3 linked regions of the Coturnix japonica genome follow. The main gene of each other region encodes a partner of the protein of the gene in region 2 in a complex. Links are inferred from orthologs where the notes say so. Each region holds a gene or a part of one and is shown on either strand. Other genes may lie near its edges.

The links.
Region 1: the proteins of MAPK10 (region 2) and ATF2 are in contact, whole or in part, in a crystal structure (PDB 4H36), measured with the Homo sapiens proteins. The link is inferred for Coturnix japonica from reciprocal best matches to the Homo sapiens genes MAPK10 and ATF2. Residues at the interface, in NP_620448.1 of Homo sapiens: Asp150, Ala151, Gln155, Met159, Glu164, Arg165, Tyr168, Val197, Lys198, Ser199, Asp200, Cys201, Trp362, Glu367; in NP_001243019.1 of Homo sapiens: Lys48, His49, Met51, Thr52, Leu53, Lys54, Phe55.
Region 3: the proteins of MAPK10 (region 2) and SH3BP5 are in contact, whole or in part, in a crystal structure (PDB 4H3B), measured with the Homo sapiens proteins. The link is inferred for Coturnix japonica from reciprocal best matches to the Homo sapiens genes MAPK10 and SH3BP5. Residues at the interface, in NP_620448.1 of Homo sapiens: Lys121, Asp150, Ala151, Gln155, Val156, Met159, Leu161, Glu164, Arg165, Tyr168, Tyr171, Val197, Lys198, Ser199, Asp200, Cys201, Trp362, Asp364, Glu367; in NP_004835.2 of Homo sapiens: Val341, Val342, Arg343, Pro344, Gly345, Ser346, Leu347, Asp348, Leu349, Pro350.

Annotation. Positions count from the first base shown.
Region 1 is NC_029522.1:14,845,655-14,851,457, forward strand, and holds the start of ATF2 (cyclic AMP-dependent transcription factor ATF-2), read left to right. Parts: upstream 1-1,526; 5' UTR 1,527-1,640; intron 1,641-1,781; exon of another isoform or gene 1,782-1,896; intron 1,897-4,699; exon of another isoform or gene 4,700-4,811; intron 4,812-5,072; 5' UTR 5,073-5,115; intron 5,116-5,803. UniProt on the Homo sapiens protein: Transcriptional activator which regulates the transcription of various genes, including those involved in anti-apoptosis, cell growth, and DNA damage response.
Region 2 is NC_029519.1:40,899,529-40,905,988, reverse strand, and holds part of MAPK10 (mitogen-activated protein kinase 10), read left to right. Parts: intron 1-2,094; coding exon 2,095-2,224; intron 2,225-2,701; coding exon 2,702-2,760; intron 2,761-3,875; coding exon 3,876-4,014; intron 4,015-4,989; coding exon 4,990-5,155; intron 5,156-6,460. UniProt on the Homo sapiens protein: Serine/threonine-protein kinase involved in various processes such as neuronal proliferation, differentiation, migration and programmed cell death.
Region 3 is NC_029517.1:38,153,591-38,159,394, forward strand, and holds the start of SH3BP5 (SH3 domain-binding protein 5), read left to right. Parts: upstream 1-1,527; 5' UTR 1,528-1,581; coding exon 1,582-1,662; intron 1,663-2,633; coding exon 2,634-2,696; intron 2,697-5,804. UniProt on the Homo sapiens protein: Functions as a guanine nucleotide exchange factor (GEF) with specificity for RAB11A and RAB25. Inhibits the auto- and transphosphorylation activity of BTK. Plays a negative regulatory role in BTK-related cytoplasmic signaling in B-cells.

The sequences.
Region 1 (5,803 bases), on a different chromosome or scaffold from region 2:
ACTCCCAAAATGTTGGTGTCATGGAAATTGATGCTATTTCCAAAGTCATTTCATTAAAGATAAACAACTTTAACTGTCATCCTGTTCCTTGCATTTTTTATCTTTCTTATAAAGTTATGACTTTATTTTGTGGTAATGACGTATATGTAGGACCCTTTAAACAATAACTTCAAGTCAAGCATATAATATTTGTGGCAGTGTCACTTGCTTGATAAAATCAGTATGATTAATCCTAGGAAAATCAAAGGATGCACTGACCAAGTGTGAGAAGTTGTACTTCTGGCCTTGTTCCTTTACCTATTTCACATTTATCCAGAGCTGTTTCTCTGCACAGTTTTGTGTTGTCCTCCCCACTAGATTAGCTGGCACACAGAGTTTTGGCATCTCACGGTACAATAAGCTTAACAATTCTCCAGCAGTGATAAGGAAGCTGTTTGCATCAGTCCCACTACTAATTTTGATCATCCTAGTAGAAGTTTTCTGCTTGGTTCTCCAGGTTGAACTTAACTACTGGTTGAGATTGGTCCGAAGCCAATGGCACATAGACATTATACTCTTACTTAATTACAGTGTTCTTGGCATGGGAGAATGTCCAGCTTTTTGATATAGTAAAGATTTGTCATTAACCTGATGTTTGGAAAACAGTAGGATCCAAGAGTGACAAAATGCTGCACTTCAAGCTTTGCATCTCATGGTTTCTATCTTTTAACAACCTTAATACATTTAAGGTGCTGTCTGCGCTTACAGCAATGTACTGTGTAATGCTGTGCACTAATTGGTTGGGTGGCTTTGAATATTAAATAATAGATCTAATCATTCAACAACGACAAACTGACCTTTGGAAGAAAGCAAACAGGTTTATGAGCTTTGCTTTCCTGCTGTTACGGAATTAAATCCAGGGAGCTATGAGCTGTAAGTAGCCCGTCCTCGGGTATGTGAAGAAACTGGTTGGTGGCTCTGATGTGTGTGATCTGCAGGTAAACTCTTCGCTTTGAGTTTCAATACTACGTGGGTATTCATTCAGCTTAACTCGAACGTAGCATGAAGCTACTTGCTCTGTATGTTCTTCAATGGAAATAGCCATCTTTTCAAGAACTGCTGAACGCAGTCCAGAATTGCTGTTAAGTAATGCCACGTATGGATGAATTGGATCTCACTGTTGGACACATCACGGGCTTCTAAAGCACAGAAACAAACCTGCACGCAGGGAGTTCGCTACCTCATTGGCAATAATGTCCTCATTGACAATAAGGTGAATGATGATTGATAAGTGGGTTTTGAAACATTGAATGATAGGTGGGTGTTCACACCTGAATGATCCCGGGGCGCACAGACTCCCTGTCTCTGTTCCTGCTCCGTGCTGGACCAAAGATTCGTGTCCGTGCCGTGTCCCGTCGGACGTAGCCCGGATCATCCATCCCGTGTTGTACCGCCCCCACACCCGGCCCGGCCTCTCCCGTCCTCACGACGAGCCGCAGCCGCCCCGCCGGCATCGCCCAATGGGCGCCGTCCCCGCCCCCCTGCGCCACGTGACCTGCGTTCCACCGGTCCCGCGGAGATGTCGGCGTTGTTCTCGCGAGATGTGACGGAAGCCTGTGGGGGACCCGGCCGTTCGTGTTTGGCGCGGCCCGCGTTCCCGGGTGAGTTTGTAAACAGGAGCGCGGCTCTGCCGGGCCAGGTGCCGGCTCCGCCCTCCGCGCTGCGCCCGGCTCCGGGCCGCGGGGAGCGCCCCGAGGGCGGAGGGGAGGGAGCGGCCCCGCCGAGGGGTAGGCGGGGGTTCCCGGGAGGCGGTAATATGGCGCCGCGGCTCCGCGCCGCCGCAGCCCCCTCCCCCACCGCGGCCTGCGGCTCCCGCCGCCCCTAGAGCCGGGCAGGAGGACGCCGGAGCCGCCGCAGGTACGGGCCGATCGGATGGGGGCGGCGGGGCGGAGGATGCGTCGGCTTTTCTCTCGCCTCCGGTGGCTGCCCCGGGCTCGGCCTGAGCCCCGGCCCCAAGGAGGCCTCTCCGCGTCCATCCGTGGCTCCGGAGGCCCTCGGGCTGCGCCCAGCGCTCGGGCTTAGCGGTATGGGGGGGGAGGAGGAGGAAGCGAGCGCCTCTTGTGCAGGCAGGGCCGCGGCCTGTGCCTTCAGGGTTGTGCTAATGAAACATCTCCGAAGCTGTCAGAGGATTAAAAGCAAGCAGCGCAGCGCGGGCCTTCAGGCGCTGATGATTGCACGGTGTTTCAGGCACGGATATTTCATGCCCTCGGTGCTGTGTGATTGTGGGTTTGAGGTACAGGTGCTGTTGTGCTGCTGCAGCTTTGTTCGTGCTGCAGCCTTCCTACACCCCTCTGTTTGGAGGGGGTTCCATCAGTGCGTTTCTATGTCTCACCCATTCCTATGTCACTTGTTTGCTTTTCCTTGCTAGTTTCTTCCAGAAATGACCTTTCCCTTCAAATAAAGATGCAGTCACCTGCTTCATAGTAGGATATAAGGCTACTACAGCTGGAAATTGTGAGTCATCCGCTGCTTTGCAAACAGCTAATGCAAAGTGAATTTTCTCCTGCAGTTTTCTCTCCTGCCTTTTAGAATGTGTTTGTCGTCATCTTGTCACACTGTACTCAGAGCTGGGAATCTCTTCTCAAGCTCTTGCTGAGTGTAAAGGCACATAGAGCTGATTACAAAGAAAAAAAGGAGAAAAGCAGGTGTGCCTGAAGTTAACACTGTGTGACTGCTGTGCCTGCATTAGATGCTCTGTTCAACTTTGATTTATAGGATTACAAAAACTTTATGGTCCTTGGTTTCCACTGTGGTAGACGTGTCTTCAGTTGGCTAATGAAACATCAGTTGCTGATGTTAATGGAAGTCTGGTTACAGACATCACTTCAGAGGCATGAACTGGTGAAGTGTGGCAGTCACTTGGGTTCTCTTTTAAGCCCTTATTGAAGCCTTATTGAAAAAAACAAATGTCGTAAACTGCTTTTTGTAGTGCATCCAAAAAAACATGGGGTGAAGCTGCTTACAAAAGAACTTGGTGGTGTGTTTGTTTTACACTTGATAGCACATGCCTACACCCAGTCAGCTGGTTGGGTCTTTGATCTTTCTCATTGTATAGTCATGTTTCCATCCTGACTTCAATTCTAGAAATACAGACATTTTTGGTACATCTTTTTCTAGAAGATTCTTAGCTGTGCAGTGTGTAACATAAGGTTCTTTCAGGTCCTGAGTTAATCTTGCATAACTTTATGAATAATTTTTGTTTTCATGCTACTTCTCTAGTGGTTCTGTGACAGCATTGAGCAGCCTGAAATATGGTGTTCTTTTAATCTTATTAATTAGGGTCCATCTTCTGCCTAAAATGCCTTTCATCAGCTATTCTTTCTCTTCCCCCCACCATTTATCTTTTAAAATTTTTTAAAAGCCTCTTTTACTGTTTTATTTAACTGTTGTTAAACTTTTTTTTAAGACTGGTTTTAGAGGAGTAAACATGATTCAGCTGCATTAACTTCTCTCTGTAATAATGAATAGACTTCAAGTTATCGTATCCTCCTGCATAACTTAAGTATATTTGTTTCAAATCAATAGGGTACACTCTGAGACACTGAATATATCTGGGGGTAGAAATATGAGTCGATACTTTTTAACTATGCTCATATTTTTGTTTCAAGTTGGTGCCATACTGTATCTGATTGATTTTTGTGTCAGTAGCTGCTTAGCAGGAGCTCAACCTCAGAACTTTCCTATTAGCTCTACTTCAGACTGGAGTTTTTCTTTTGTAAGTTAGTGGGAACAATACAGTGTGTTTCTATTTCTGGGTAAATGCCAGTGGCCATTTACCTTGTTGCTTATAGGAAAAAAATACATCACTCTGTTTTAATGAGCTTTGAGAGTGCTTCAGTAGCACACTCCTTGGTATATTTAAGAATTTTAAATCAAACCCTTGGTTATTGTATGGAGTTACGTACTCAAAGGATGCGATCTGTAAAAATGAAGTACCTTTGTTAAGATATTTTTAATTTTAATTTTAAGATATTTTTAATTTGCTGAAAATAAAGTTGCAGAAGACTAGATTTACAATGTCTCTGAGGTTGATGGACAGTAATAAAACTTTCAAACTTAGGTAATTGAGCTGGTGAAGGCGTAAAAGCTAATATCTTGCTAAACAAGTCACAGAGAGATCTCAGGAATATGAAATCCTGTGTATTTGCTCTCTGAGATTCCCTGGCTTTCTACTTGTCTGCTGTAAGAGCTGCATTCACACTGCATAAGCTTCCACTAATCCAAGCCCCTCTGAGAAATATCCAAGCCAGGGAGCTGACATTCGAGCTGTCAGATTCAGTCAGCTGGAACTGTTGGGTCTAGGAACATTTCTTTTATTCCATCAGTGCTCCTGGTTTACCAGAATTGTCCCTTCTTATGTGAAAAGCTTGCTCCTACTGCAGAACCAAAGTGACTTCATTGGTTTGTTTCTGTGCACGTGACTATCTGGCCAGTAGATTTCTTGTTCTCATTTGAAATTGTTAAGTCAATCGTCTTCACTTCTCACACATTTTTCCTCTTATCCAGATGAGATCCCTCTTAGTTATTTGAATTGAGTTCCGTACCTTCCTCTATTTGACTTAGACGTCAGTTACAGACAGGTCACTGACAGCATCAACATTAGGCCTGCTTTTGAAAGAAGAAAGCTTGATGCAACAGGCATTGCCTTCTGCCTCCCCAGAACACTGAGAGAGACCGCGTGACTTCGAGGAAGTGGAACAACTGCTCTTCTAAGCAGTAGAGTGACAGTTTTGAAGAAGAAGCTCCTGTTTTCCTATTGACCAGTTCTTGAGGTTTGCATCCTTTAAACAGCCTATAGTTATCTTCCAGAATCTACTTGCTAGTGATTCTACATCTTTTTTAAGGAGGAACGTTTATATTTTTCCATATTTTTCCTCCTTCAGTCTGTTCATTTTTCACTTTCAGTTCTTTAGGAATGTTAAATTCTGTGGTGACATGACAGAAATGCAGTCAGAACACTTCTGAAAGCGGTCTGTAATAGTGAATATTAATTACACCACTTCTGCTTCACTTTTCTTTGTTTTTGCATACAGGAAACTGAAAAGAAAAAATAAGAAGTTGTTCCAGTCCTTCTAGGTAAGTGAAGTGATGGCTTGTATTCTAAAATCCAAATGTTGACTTTATTTTACTGTTTTACTAACTGCTAAATTGCACACACAAACTTCTGGTTTCTCCTGAAAGCGGAATTTGCAAGTCTGATTGCCCCTGTAGTGAACTGTAGGACTTAGTATTAAATACAGGAAATGATTAAAGTGTATGCAATTCAGTGCTGCTATCAAGTATTGAAAATATAAGAGGTACCCTTGGTTTGTTTTGTTTCACATTGACTTGCTTGGTTGCATGAGAGCCAGCTCTTTTAATTTTGGAGTGGTTAAGTTTGGAAAACAAAACCAGCTATTTTTTAATTTATTTTTTAATGTAAAGAAGCAGCTCTACTAAAATTTTTGTTAAATTAAATTCTGCTCTTCAAGTACCTGTTAAGAGAACGTCATTCTTTAACGTGCAGGTATGCTCAGTCTTCAGTCCACTTGATTTTAAATGCAAACAAAGAGATGAAGAAGTTACACGCCTCAAGTAGAACTTGTGAATCAAAGAAAATTTTTGCCCTTGCCCTTTTACGCTTCACTTTTCTTTTACAGGTGCTTTAAAGTGAGATCTTAAAACCCTAATGTTGAAAGCAGTTACGTACTATGATGAGATCTACACTAAAGGTTACTAAGAGTTAATAACTATATACAGTCAGAGTTGATTGTGCAGTAAAAAG
Region 2 (6,460 bases):
GTTACTAATTGACTCAGTGCAATGAATTCCCATATTTGAGTCTTGAGGTAGTTGGGTACCTTCTGTTTGATGGAAGGCTAGGGAAGAACAGAAGTTGAGATCCCAGTATCTCAGAGTAAACACCACTGTACAAAGGATTATTGGGATTGTTTCCTCTTCCTCCATAGTGGAGGACGCAGCTGTTGTGTTACATGGTGGACTGGGAATGGATTGTTCCCAAGGGCTTGCAAAGGCGTTGCAGATTTTAAGTTGGTACTTTTGTATCTCCTGCCTTGCCTGAGAAAGAAAAATTCAGAAAAAGTGAACAAACAGAGCAGAAGGTGAAGATTGGATGTAAGCAAGGTGTTTTTTGCACAAAGGGTGGTGACACAATGGCACACTTGACCAGAAAGGTGGTGGATGCCCTGTCCTTGGAGATGCTCAAGGTCAGGTTGGATGGGGCTCTGAGCAACCTGATCTAATTGCAGATGTTCCTGTTTATTACAGACGAGTTGAGCTAGATGACCTTTAAGGGTCCCTTCCAACTCAAGCGATTCTATGGTTCTGTGACTGTCCTTTTTAAAGACGTTGGGTGATGAATTAGTGTGAATTAGCTCAGACATTTGTCTGCTGAGATGTTTTCAATGAATGTCCTTGAATGATGGATGCAGAACAGTTCGTTATTGAAAGATCTTGTTTTTAAACTCCTTGGACTTTGTGTTTCCATGAAGTATAATGCTTTATGAATGGAATAAGGATATTTTTGTCTTTGTTTTTATGGTGTCCCATTGTGATCAACCCAAAAGAGAGCAAAAGCCACAAATCCACTATAATGTCTCACATTTCTTACTATCGCTGTTAATCAACTGTTCCTCTTTGGGTACATATTGGTGTGCTCCTGATGTAGGAGTAGTATAACTGGGAACTACAGAGTGGAGAAGGAGAAGACATTTCAAGATGGACATTGCCAACTTTTTTTTAGTATGCTTGTAAATTTTTGTTGGCTTTGTAACTCAGCTTCCAATACTGCTGTGCTTTCTGCTCTGTACGCAGTCAGTAGGGTAACGTGAGTGAAAATCTACAATACACAGGGATTCATAGGAAAAAAATATGGGATTTTGAAGAGTTGCTCTGGTGCTTCATGTTGTCATTGCTGGAACATCAAGAAGTGATTTGGTGGAGTTACCCTGTAGGAAATACACTCCTGTTTTTCTTGCTGTAGCAAAAGCCTGTAGCAAACCTTTCCACATTGATGGAAAAGAGAGTAATCAGGAATGGGGCCTGAGGACTGATTTAGTCTGAGAGTATTTCTAATATGCATTTATGAAATGCAGAAGCTGGAATTTGTGTCATCATATTTGAGCGACCAAAATAAGTGGTTCAAACTCCTAAGAGGTGAAAATTATCAAAATATGTGAAAGTTGTGCAAAATGTTTTAAAACTAAAAAGGAGAATTTGAGAAGCCCATATTTAAGACCACTTTGCAAACCCGAGTCTGTATTTCTTCATGCATTCAATTTTTTAAACTAAGCATACATAACAATTTGTTTTCCTTATGAAAAGGAAACGAGAAAGAAATTTTGAGAAATAGTCCTGCTTCCAGGCATGTAATTGGACCTGGATGATATGGTCTAAAGGAATGATTAAATAATTTGATTCCATTAGAAAATGTGATAAGGAAAAGGCTAAATTAATTCTAATTGAAAGTGGGGAATTGTTCATTGAGATACTTGGTGAACGTGTCCTTAATCATGATAGGAATTGCAGAAGCCTCTCTGTTGTACCTGCTACACCAAGCTGCTTTGTGAAACTATTCGTCTCCACCAGTTCTCATTGTGCTTTTATTTAATCTTTTATTTCTACCCCTTGAAAATAAGTGTTAGATTCCTATGAAACTGGATGTCAGAAGTAGTGGTGCATGCTCTTCCCTGCTGATGTGGTACGTGGTTCCTTTCACTTGCTTCTTTCTTCTCACTAGACAATCTCTCCTTGTCCCAGCATTTTTCTCAAGGAGAGGAAAAAATGGAAATAGCAGTCTTGAGGCTCAGGAATTTGCCATAGGAAAAGAAGGAGCTCCTCTAACATGTATGTCCCCTGTGTTTGTCATGATTGCAGCGCTGCATACGATGCCATCCTTGAGCGAAACGTTGCAATCAAGAAACTAAGCCGACCATTTCAGAATCAAACCCACGCCAAACGTGCTTACAGAGAGCTGGTCCTCATGAAGTGTGTGAATCACAAAAATGTAAGTCTTATGCATGGAGTCAGACTGCTGTTTTGGTTTGATCAGAAGAAAACTCTTCTTTTGGGGGTCTTTTTTAATTTAAAAATCGGAAAAAGAGAGAGAGAGAGAGATTTGAAAAGTAAACTGATCAAGGGCTGCTTTTTCTCTGATGATGTGTGGCCACATAGGTGAATGGGTTTCTTTCATGTACATCTGTGAAGGCTGTGCCAAATGGGAGCCCTGATAGGATAGCAGGGATGATGGAAGGAGAGAGAGCAGAGCATGTTTTTCTCTACTGTTTCTCTGTAAATAGGGAAGTGGTGGTTTTGTGGAGGCATTTTATTCTAAATATTACTGACTTCTTCCTGAGCCATAAAGTGTTGGTATTAATTGAGCAGTGAAAAATAGAGTTTATCTTTCAATGCATGCTTCAGAATGAGTTTGACTGCTTCGCCTTTATCGCTTCTATTCCTCCTTTTGTTTTGCTCTGTTTTTCAGATTATCAGTTTATTAAATGTCTTCACACCACAGAAATCTCTAGAAGAGTTCCAGGATGTGTAAGTAATACAGGAAATAATTAAACCAAAGCTTTTGAGATGGTGTTTTAGTGTACCGTTAATGCAATAACTCAGCAGAACACAGAGGTGATGAGCCACCCTGAAAAATGTCCATGTGTAGTCTGCACTGTGATCAGACAGCTATGTGCATGCCTGTGTTCAAAGCATCTATAAGGTGCCAATACTGGGTTTCTGAAGTGCTGCAAGTGTGCAGCAATTTGCTCTGAAGTAATTTCCTGTAAGAGTGACAGAAACATCCTTTATGTTTGCTCTGTAATAACCTGGCTGTCTTTAATTGCTTGCCTGGTTGACTCATACTCAATGCAGAGGACAACTGCATCTCTGCTGGGCATTGTACAGATGCACAAGCACTGCTGTGCAGATTATGGAGCTGCACCAAATGGAACTACAAATAGTGTTGTGTAGTAATATTCCTTTTAGCTTTCAGTCCTCCCCATATCTTGTAAGTGTGGTATTGAAATGTATTCCTCTTCTGTAATTGGATATCAGCTGGTGATAAGAGACAAATAGTTGTTGGAGTTGGGTGAGGATGGTTTTAGTATTAACATATGAATATTATGCATCATATTGTTCCTGCAGACATATGTAGAGCACAGGAAGTAACCAGTGCTGGAGAGAAGATGAAGCATGCATCTCACATAGAAACTGAAAACCGATTTCTCACCAAAATTTGCTGTTGTGTTACAATTAGGATGTAATTAAGTGGTACACGGAAGTTGAGCAATTTGTGATCACATAAGCTGAGCTTCTGAGATGTCTGCTAAGAAATGTGCCAATGTGTTCAACCTATTAACTTCCTTGCGAAGGGGACTGAGTGCAGGTTTTGCTGAGGTTGTCAGTGAAGCTTATTTACCAGAAGCTCAGGACCAATTATTGAGTTAGGCTGTGCAGTCTTAGGACTGGAGCCATTTCATGTGCAGACACATTTTGGAGCTGCTTAGACTTCACTCAGGTTCCTGCATGTGCTGTGGGAGCCATTACTGAAGGCCAAGTGGCTGTGGCATGGGACACTTGTGACTTTTCTGACATTGTTAGTTGCTGGAGGCAATGCTCAACACAGCTGATAACCTTCCTGGCTTTGCTGTTCCATTTAGTTATCTGGTGATGGAGCTGATGGATGCCAACCTGTGCCAGGTGATTCAGATGGAGCTAGACCATGAGCGAATGTCCTACCTGCTGTATCAAATGCTCTGTGGCATCAAGCACCTGCACTCTGCGGGAATTATTCACAGGGTAAGGAAACTCCAGTTTGGAACTCAGAGTGGCAAATGCCATCCTTGTGGAAACCAGTTGAGTTTCTTGTGTGCTGCGGATCTAAGCCCTACCTCCAGAAAAATCACAGTGCATTTACTAATCACAGCCCATTCCATTCACTGAGTTGCCTCATGTTTGTTTTAGAACTGTTCTTAGGTAATGTGCTTATTAAAAATAATGATAATAATCACCAATATGCACTGGAAATCACCAAAGTGATTATGATCTCTGAAATGTCTACAGAAATGTTATTGCTCCTTAAAACACTGCTACGAGTGTGGGAGGTAACACTGTGATCCCTAACAACAGAAGAAAACAGTTTGTGTGACTGTGAGCATGTGAGGCAGTGCTGAATGGATTAAAAACACCCCTATTCTTTGTTACAGTGGTCTTGTACTAATTTTGTATTTTTAGCTGAAATATATATATACATGCATATGTCCTTTCTTTATGAAATTGTTCACAAGAGGGATGTTGCCTTACAGTAAGCAAAGGCTTTATTTCTTGCTGTGTTGTATGTACATAGGAGGATGTGGATCTGGTTTCAAGATAATTTCTGAGAAAGGATGAGTTGATTTCTTATTAAAACAAATGAAGCAGTAAACCATCTCCACGTAAGACAGTTGGAATATCTCTGTGAGGCTGACAGCATTAAAAAAAATCCCACAAAATAGTACTTTAATACTCATCTGAACTTCTCAAACAGCCCAATGAAATTATTTCACACCAGTAAGCTCCCACCATCTGAGTACAGCCCCAGGGTACACCCAGTGGGCAACACTTTTTGCAAGATATTGCAGAGAAACAGGTGCAAAGTTTTTGCCAGTGATTTCTGATTGAAACCATCAGTGAAGGAGTGCAAGAGTATTTGAATGTGCCTTGAAAAATTAATGTCCATCACTGCCGTGGCTATGGCTTTGTGCACTCCTTTCACTCTTTTGCAATCTTTTGCAGGATTTGAAACCAAGTAACATTGTGGTAAAATCTGACTGCACGCTGAAGATTTTGGATTTTGGGCTGGCCAGAACTGCAGGCACCAGCTTCATGATGACGCCTTATGTAGTGACTCGTTACTACAGAGCACCAGAGGTCATCCTGGGAATGGGCTACAAGGAGAACGGTAGGGCTGCATGTCGGAGCACACAGGTGTGAGGTGGATCTGTGGCTGTAGGGGCATCAGGAGGAGAAACAGAAAATGTATCAGGAAAAGACATCATGAATATAAAAGGCAGGTGATGGGGAGGAGGTTCTCATTCTTGGGTGCTGCAGGCACCTACTCTTGTTGGGGTGTTAATAGGGGATGAAGTTATCAGTGTGGTATTGCAGAATAATGGGAGATCGTTCTTAGTTATTAGTGAGCAAATCAAACTCAGACTAAGAAGGGAAGGAAGGGATAAAGCACGCAGTGGAGAAAAGTGCACGGTCTCAGGTTCTGTCCTCAGGAGCTGCCACTCGTCTTTTTGACAAAGAGATTAATCAATGACAGAGGTCATTAATTCTTTGTAATGGTTGTGAGTTCACAGTGCAGATTTTAATGGGAAAATCAAGAAAGTAGGCAGTTACTGAGTAGATTCTAACAGTGCAGAATAATATTTATTGAGAGCAATGTTTCTTGAAGGACTTTGATGTGTGTTGTTATCGACTTGACCTGAGCTCGGCATCTTTTACAGCTCCTTACGCCAAATACCCACTTGTTTTTTCTTTCAAAACATGTAGTAAATAAATCTTCATTGTTATAATTGTCCCTGAGAGGACAGAAAATGCACTCAGTTCTCAAATAAGAAAATCTTAGGGACACTTTAGTGATGAAGTGTACAGCTGGGAAAGTTCCAAGAGTTGTTGCCATATCTCCCAGGGAAGGAACAGAAGGGCTGCTCTTTGCTCCCTGCTCCTGTGCTGCCACATTACTGAAGCTCCCCTCCTTTTTTCCCCTTACTATGCCCATTGCCTGTGTAAGGACTATTCACTGCTTTCATTTTCTTTCTGCACTGGGTTGGCTAAAGATATACCATTAACACTGGTTTGCTGTGCTTCCCGGGGAAGCTCCCAAAGCCATCACTGTGAAGAAAACTGCTGCAGCCTCAGGCATGCTCCTGCTGTCCTGTGCCCCATACCCTGTACCCTCCTTGTCCCAGATGGAACGTTTCACCTTGATTTTATTTGACCAAGAAATGAGTTGTTTGTTTCTTTGGTTTGTTATGGATAGAATGTGGGTTCAGATCCTCAAGCAGCAGTTGTAGATAGCCCCTAAGTGTGATATGTATCCACGTGGCCTTTGCTTACAGGAGTAGTTCCATTGGGAACCTCCTGTGCACTGCTACAGGACAGAGTCCGCAGGCTATGCAGTTGCAGGTGGGTTTTGTTTAGGTGGTCATTGCCTGGGCTGTTGGTTTGCCTTTTCATTTCAGAACAAATTGAGGTTTTT
Region 3 (5,804 bases), on a different chromosome or scaffold from region 2:
CCAGAAGCTGCTTTGTGGTTTTTAGGATGACCAGAGCTTTGGATGTTGAAACACATGAGCCACATGAGAGACCTGGAGACTCTGGAGCTCTGTATTGTTTGCACACATTGAATTCCCTTAATGGCAATCAACAGGAACAAACCACTTTTGTGTGGTGATGTTTTCTTTTTCTTTACACAGTTTCTCTTGCTGTGAGAAATGAAGATGTGAACAGCCCATCTGCGTTTTGCAACACCTCTGTTCCTTGATTAGTTTGGATTGATGGTATAACTTTGCATGTTTATACACTGTTCAAATGTTTGTGCCATTTTCTTTCTTCCCACATTGTTTTGATTTTTCCAGTTTCTTTCATAGTACACAGAATCAAAGAATCATTGAGCTGGAAAGGGACCCTTGGAGGTCATCTGCAATGAGCAGTTACCTACAGCTGTATCAGGAGCTCAGAGCCCTGTACAGCCTGACCTTGAGTGTCATCAGGGATGGTATATCTACCACCTCTCTGGACAACCTGTACCAGTGCCTCAACACCCTTATTGTGAAAAACTTCCTTACATCCAATCTAAATCTCCACTCTTTTAGTTTGAAACCATTTCCCTTTTGTCCTATCACAACAGACTGTATTAAAGAGCCTGTCCCCTGCCTTCTTACAGGCCCCTTTAGATACCAAATGGCCACTCTCAGGTCTCCCCACAGTCTTCTCTTCTCCAGGCTGAACAGTCCCATCTCTCTCAGCCTGTCCTCGCAGGGGAGGTGTTCGATCTCATCTTCGTGGCCCTCCTGTGGATGTGCTCCAACAGGTCCATGTCTCTCCTGTACTGAGGACTCCACATATGGACACTGTACACCACGTGAGGCCTCACCAGTGCAGATCAGTGGGGCCAGATCACCTTCCTTACCCTGCTGTCCACATTTCTTTTGATTCAGTCCAGGATACAGTTGACTTTCTGGGCTGTGAGGGCACACCGTTGGCTCATGTCTAACTTCCCATCCACCAGTACCCCCAGGTACTATCTAGGAGGGCTGTGCTCCATCCTTACATTCCCCAGCTTGCATTGATAGTGTGGGTTGCCACAACCCAGGTGCAAGACTTGGACTTGTTGAACCTCATAGGGTTCACGTGTGCCCACTGCTCAAACCAGTCTGTGTGGCATCCCATCTCTCAGGATTTAAGCTATTTGGACGAGCTTGAATACTACTTTCCTTCCCTTTTCTTTGCTGCAAGCTCACCAGCAGAGCCTGTAGGAATAGAAGAGACAGAAAAGGAGGCAAAAGGAGCAGTGTGAGGTGTGGTTGGCTTTCCCCAGCACCTGAAATCGCTCACCTCGGCTCCGCGCAGTGGACGTGCGTGGGCCTGCCGTGCCCGGCGGGGCAGGGAGGAACGACAAAAGAACAGAAGAAAAAAGGGGCTAAAAAATAAAGGGGAAGGAAAGAGCGGGGAAATTTTACCCTCTTTTCCTTCTCCAGGCACAAAGGGCCGGGGGGGCCGCGGGCAGGGAGGGGTTTCCCCGGAGGCGGGGCCGCGCCGAGGTGGCCGCTGAGCGGCAGCCGGAGCCGAGCGGGCAGCGGCGGGCGGGAGCCGCCATGGAGCCGGGGGGCAGGCGCGGCCGTGCCGCCGAGGAGGCCCCGCGGCCCGAGGAGGAGGAGGTGGATCCCCGCATCCAGGTGAGGGACCTCCGGCCGATCCCTCCCCGCGTACGGAGACGGACGGTTCTCTTCACGAGCGGCCCGGGGCTGCGCTTTGTCGCTGTGCGGACCCCTCCCCGGCTGCTCTCGGCCGTGACCTTGGCTGCGGAGCGGGGCCGGCACCCCGAAATGCGGGGATGGGAACGGGGTGGGGGAGGAGATGGCGTAGTGTTTTAATTCTTGTTCGGAAGGAGCTGTAATGGCAGCTGCCGTTTCCCTTGTGTCGGTGCCGTTCGGAAGGCTTTGGATTCCGTCGCGTTTTATACAGGCGATTTTTTCTCTCCCCTTAACCAAGCCGTGACCTGCTGCCTGTGTATTTTTGGGTCCGGGTCCGCGTTTCGTCTCTGCTGGCCGTGAGGAGTCCCCGCCGAGTGGGGGAGGGCTCCTCTAGTTTTGCCTCTAGTACGTATTTATTCAGAGGGTTTAACACCTTTGCTTTTGCTGTTAGAGATCAAAATGTTGGCTGGAAGGCAGGCTTAAGAAACACTGTCATCTGTCCCACTGACTGCTTGTGTTATAGAGCGGCTTGCCAAAATCCAGAGCACAGAGCTGGCTGTCTATTCCTTCTGTTGCATCTCCTGTGATAGGACTAATGTGATGCTGATATATTTGGGGGTGCCTGTTCCAGGTAGCAGATGCTGGCTACCTTTAACAGGAACAGAAATGACTCTACTTGACGTTTATTTTTACTTGTGAGGAATAGGCCAGAACAGGAAACATACTGCCTTAAAATAAAGCTGTAGAGCTGCTCTGATTATTTTTCTTTTAGGTTGCAGAATAGAAGACCAGTGGCAAAGTTGTTCCAAGTGTCTCAGGTTTTCCTGTTTTCATTACATATATAAGCCCACGGCCCTTGTGAGCTTTCTGTGGGGATGCTGAACGGTTGTTCTCAGAAACATTTCCCTCAGATTTCTTCATACACATTCAACATTTTCTTCCTTTCTTTTCAGGGGGAGCTGGAAAAGCTGAATCAATCTACAGATGTAATCAATCGGAGGGAGACGGAACTGGAGGTAGGGGCTTCATCCTTGCATTTTCCTTCTGTGCATGTTGGGGTTTGTAAACAACCAAAAGAGGTTTTTGAGCAGGTTCCCTCCTGTATGGTTATCCCAAGAGGTTATTTGGCAGCAAGGAACTGATGATAGATTTGAAAGGTGTGAGTGATGCTGACGGAGTGGAAGCCCTAAGTGGAACACCCAGCCTCTTCCACTGCGAAACCCTATTTTTAGGTTTTGAAACGAAACTAAGACAAGTTCTGCTTTCACAAGTGGCTCCCTTGGGTTTGGCTTCTTGCGATTATCAGCAGTGAAAGTTTGGTTGGTTAAAAGATCTTTGGTATAAAAACGCCTGCCAAGATGGAAAGTTGAGGAGCTGAAAGAAAATACTTCCTACTTAGGGGAGAAAGGGGTGTTCTAGGCTGTTTAAAAATCCAGTGGTGTGTTCTGGAGTGGTTAATTTGAGTTTCAGCTGCTTATCCATTCTGGAAGGCTCAGCACCGTGGATCTAATATGAATTAATTGGCCCACTTGTACATCTAAGTTTTCTTTTGTTATCTGCAAAACAAAAGATAAAACCTGTGGTACTGTGGGTTGAAAACGCTGTTAGAGGAAAGCTGGCACAATGTTTTACTTTAGTTCCTAAATAATTTCGATAGCATAACAGTATTTTGAATACTATATCCAGCTGTTCCATTCAGCTGGACAGGGTGCAGTGATCTCTGAGCTTGTTGTGTGGCAATTTTCTTCTTTATTTTCTGTTTCTGGCGTGTAGATCGTGAATTTATTGGCAAATGGACTTGGTGGAGCTGAGGACTATTTGTTATGCAGAATTAAACTATATTTCAGCTGTGGAAAGCACTCTGTGCTACTGGCTTCATTTGTATTTTAAGAGTGAACTTAAAAAAGCAGTATGCTAGTTGATCTTTTTAAGTGCAGCAGTACCAATTAAATGCATTCCAGCTCCCCTCAGGAGTAGTACTATATATATCCATGTATTACTATGTATATGTATATATGTAGCTGTTGATAGATGCAATTTAAATGGACATTTCTAGATTATGTTTTTTGCAAAGTATAAGGCCTTGCTGTTATTCTGCAGACAGAAAAGGCTGCTTTGGCCCAGCTCTCTTACAGGATAAATCCACAGTTGGGAAGGAGGAGCCGAGTCTTTGAAACAGTGATCCCAGTTCTGAAATCCTTGAGTGCTGCTGAAGAACATGGGCTTCTGGGAGAGCCGTGCTGGATTTGCCTTTGAAATTTTGGCTGCTTGCCCCTCGTGTTGCCTATTTCTTGTCTGTGTTGTTGCTGCTGTTGCGAGATAGTTCATTAGATGATGAGCTTTTTTTTTTATTCCTTACGAACAATGGAGTTATATTTATCCTGTTCTTCCGTTATTGAAAATACGGAGTGAATAATGTGGTAGTTGACTTTATAATAGTTGACGTTAATGGGAGCACAGCATCATTAGGCTATTTACGTTACAGGAAGCTGATATAGTACATCTCATGGTATTGCTTTGTGGTCCATTCATTCCCACTGTTGGATATTTCTTGGATGATCTGAAAAAGCGAATGGAGGGTTTGAAGGGAGGGTACATTTCTTTGAAGGAAGATCAGGAAAAAACCCTCATGTTTTCATGACTTGAAGTGCTCTCTAATAAGCAGGAAGAGTAACCTTGTGGCATCTGAGTCTGCTTTGGACTTCCTGCAGCTTTGCATAGCTTCTCCAGCTGGATTGCTGCGCACGCTGGCTCTTTCCAGATCCCAATAACAGGAAAAATGCTGTAGGCATTATGTGTTTGTAAATCCCTTGCTTTCGTTTTCACTGTGCCTCAGGTCTACATCTGCAAAATGGTCATGTTTACCCGATAGAAAACTGGGGCTAACATCAGTAAATGCCTCTAGGATTGTGACGTTGCACTCTCCCAGTGCAGCCACAGGCGTGTCTGTGTTTTAATGATGTCAGAGCTATTGGAGTTGGCTGCTCACAGAGGTGACAAAATGAGGGATCCCATTTGGAGTTGATCAGCCTACCTTCTTAAAACAAATAACAATAATAATAATAAAAATCTGTACCCGAATCACCCTGTGAGAGGTGTGATTTTACATGCATGGCATGACTTGAGAAATGTAGAAGTTGTCTAAATCTATTCTTTTAGTTGCTATAATTGCTCATTTTTTGCTCTTTTGGCCTATCCCACTAAAACCTGAAGGACTGCCCTGACCTTATAGTACTCACAGCCTGTTCAGGACCTGCAGAGCCGATAAAGGGCACCGAGTGGCTGGTAGTTGTGTTCCCTTAATGTATTGCCTGTTAATGAATCTTTGATTGGCTTCATTTAAAACCCCTCAAGCCAATCTTACTAAGTGCAACACTGAGCGTTACTGACACAACAAAGGGATGATAAAGGCCCTCCAGAGGATTGAACACTTGGCTTTCCCCATGTCCGTGATTGTGTTGGAAGCCTCTCTGAAGAGGTGTCGGAAACATCTTGCAGTGGAGATAGAAGCAGGTTTTGACCACATACAAGTTTGAGCAGTGCCTTGCTATTTCAGTATTTTTCCTGTTTACTGGGAACACATCTGCATGGGAGCTCTCATCGGGAGCCTGGAAATGCACTTAGCAAATGTACACGACGTGCCCATCCATCTAACCCCTGTGTATTGTTGACCAGCTCCTAGAGGTACGATTCAGCTGCAGCAGATCAATCAAGGGAACCTCTGGCAGCATTGCAGGGGGAAAAATGCAGCACATACCATTAAAATTACCACTGGAATCCTAGCAATCCCAGTGTGTTTTTTGTTACAGCTTTTGTGTTTCTGGAACTTCAAGCCTGCTAGTGTTTATTAAGGGACAACGATTGCACACAAAAACTAGTTAAGCAGTGCTACTTCCAGCCATGTTTTTTTAAGTGGGATTTGTTTAGGATCCTTCTTGTATGTTTGTCTAGATCCTCTAGTCCCAATCTGTGAGGCTTTGTGCTCCTTTTAGTCCCACATTTGTCCTAAAGGTTACTCTGGGTTGATGTTGAACAGTATCACAGGAAAGGGTTGCGTCTGCCGTGGTGCTGTCACTTGTAAGCCCTGTCAGCATGGGAACCCCTTGCAAAAGAGGAAGGGCTGT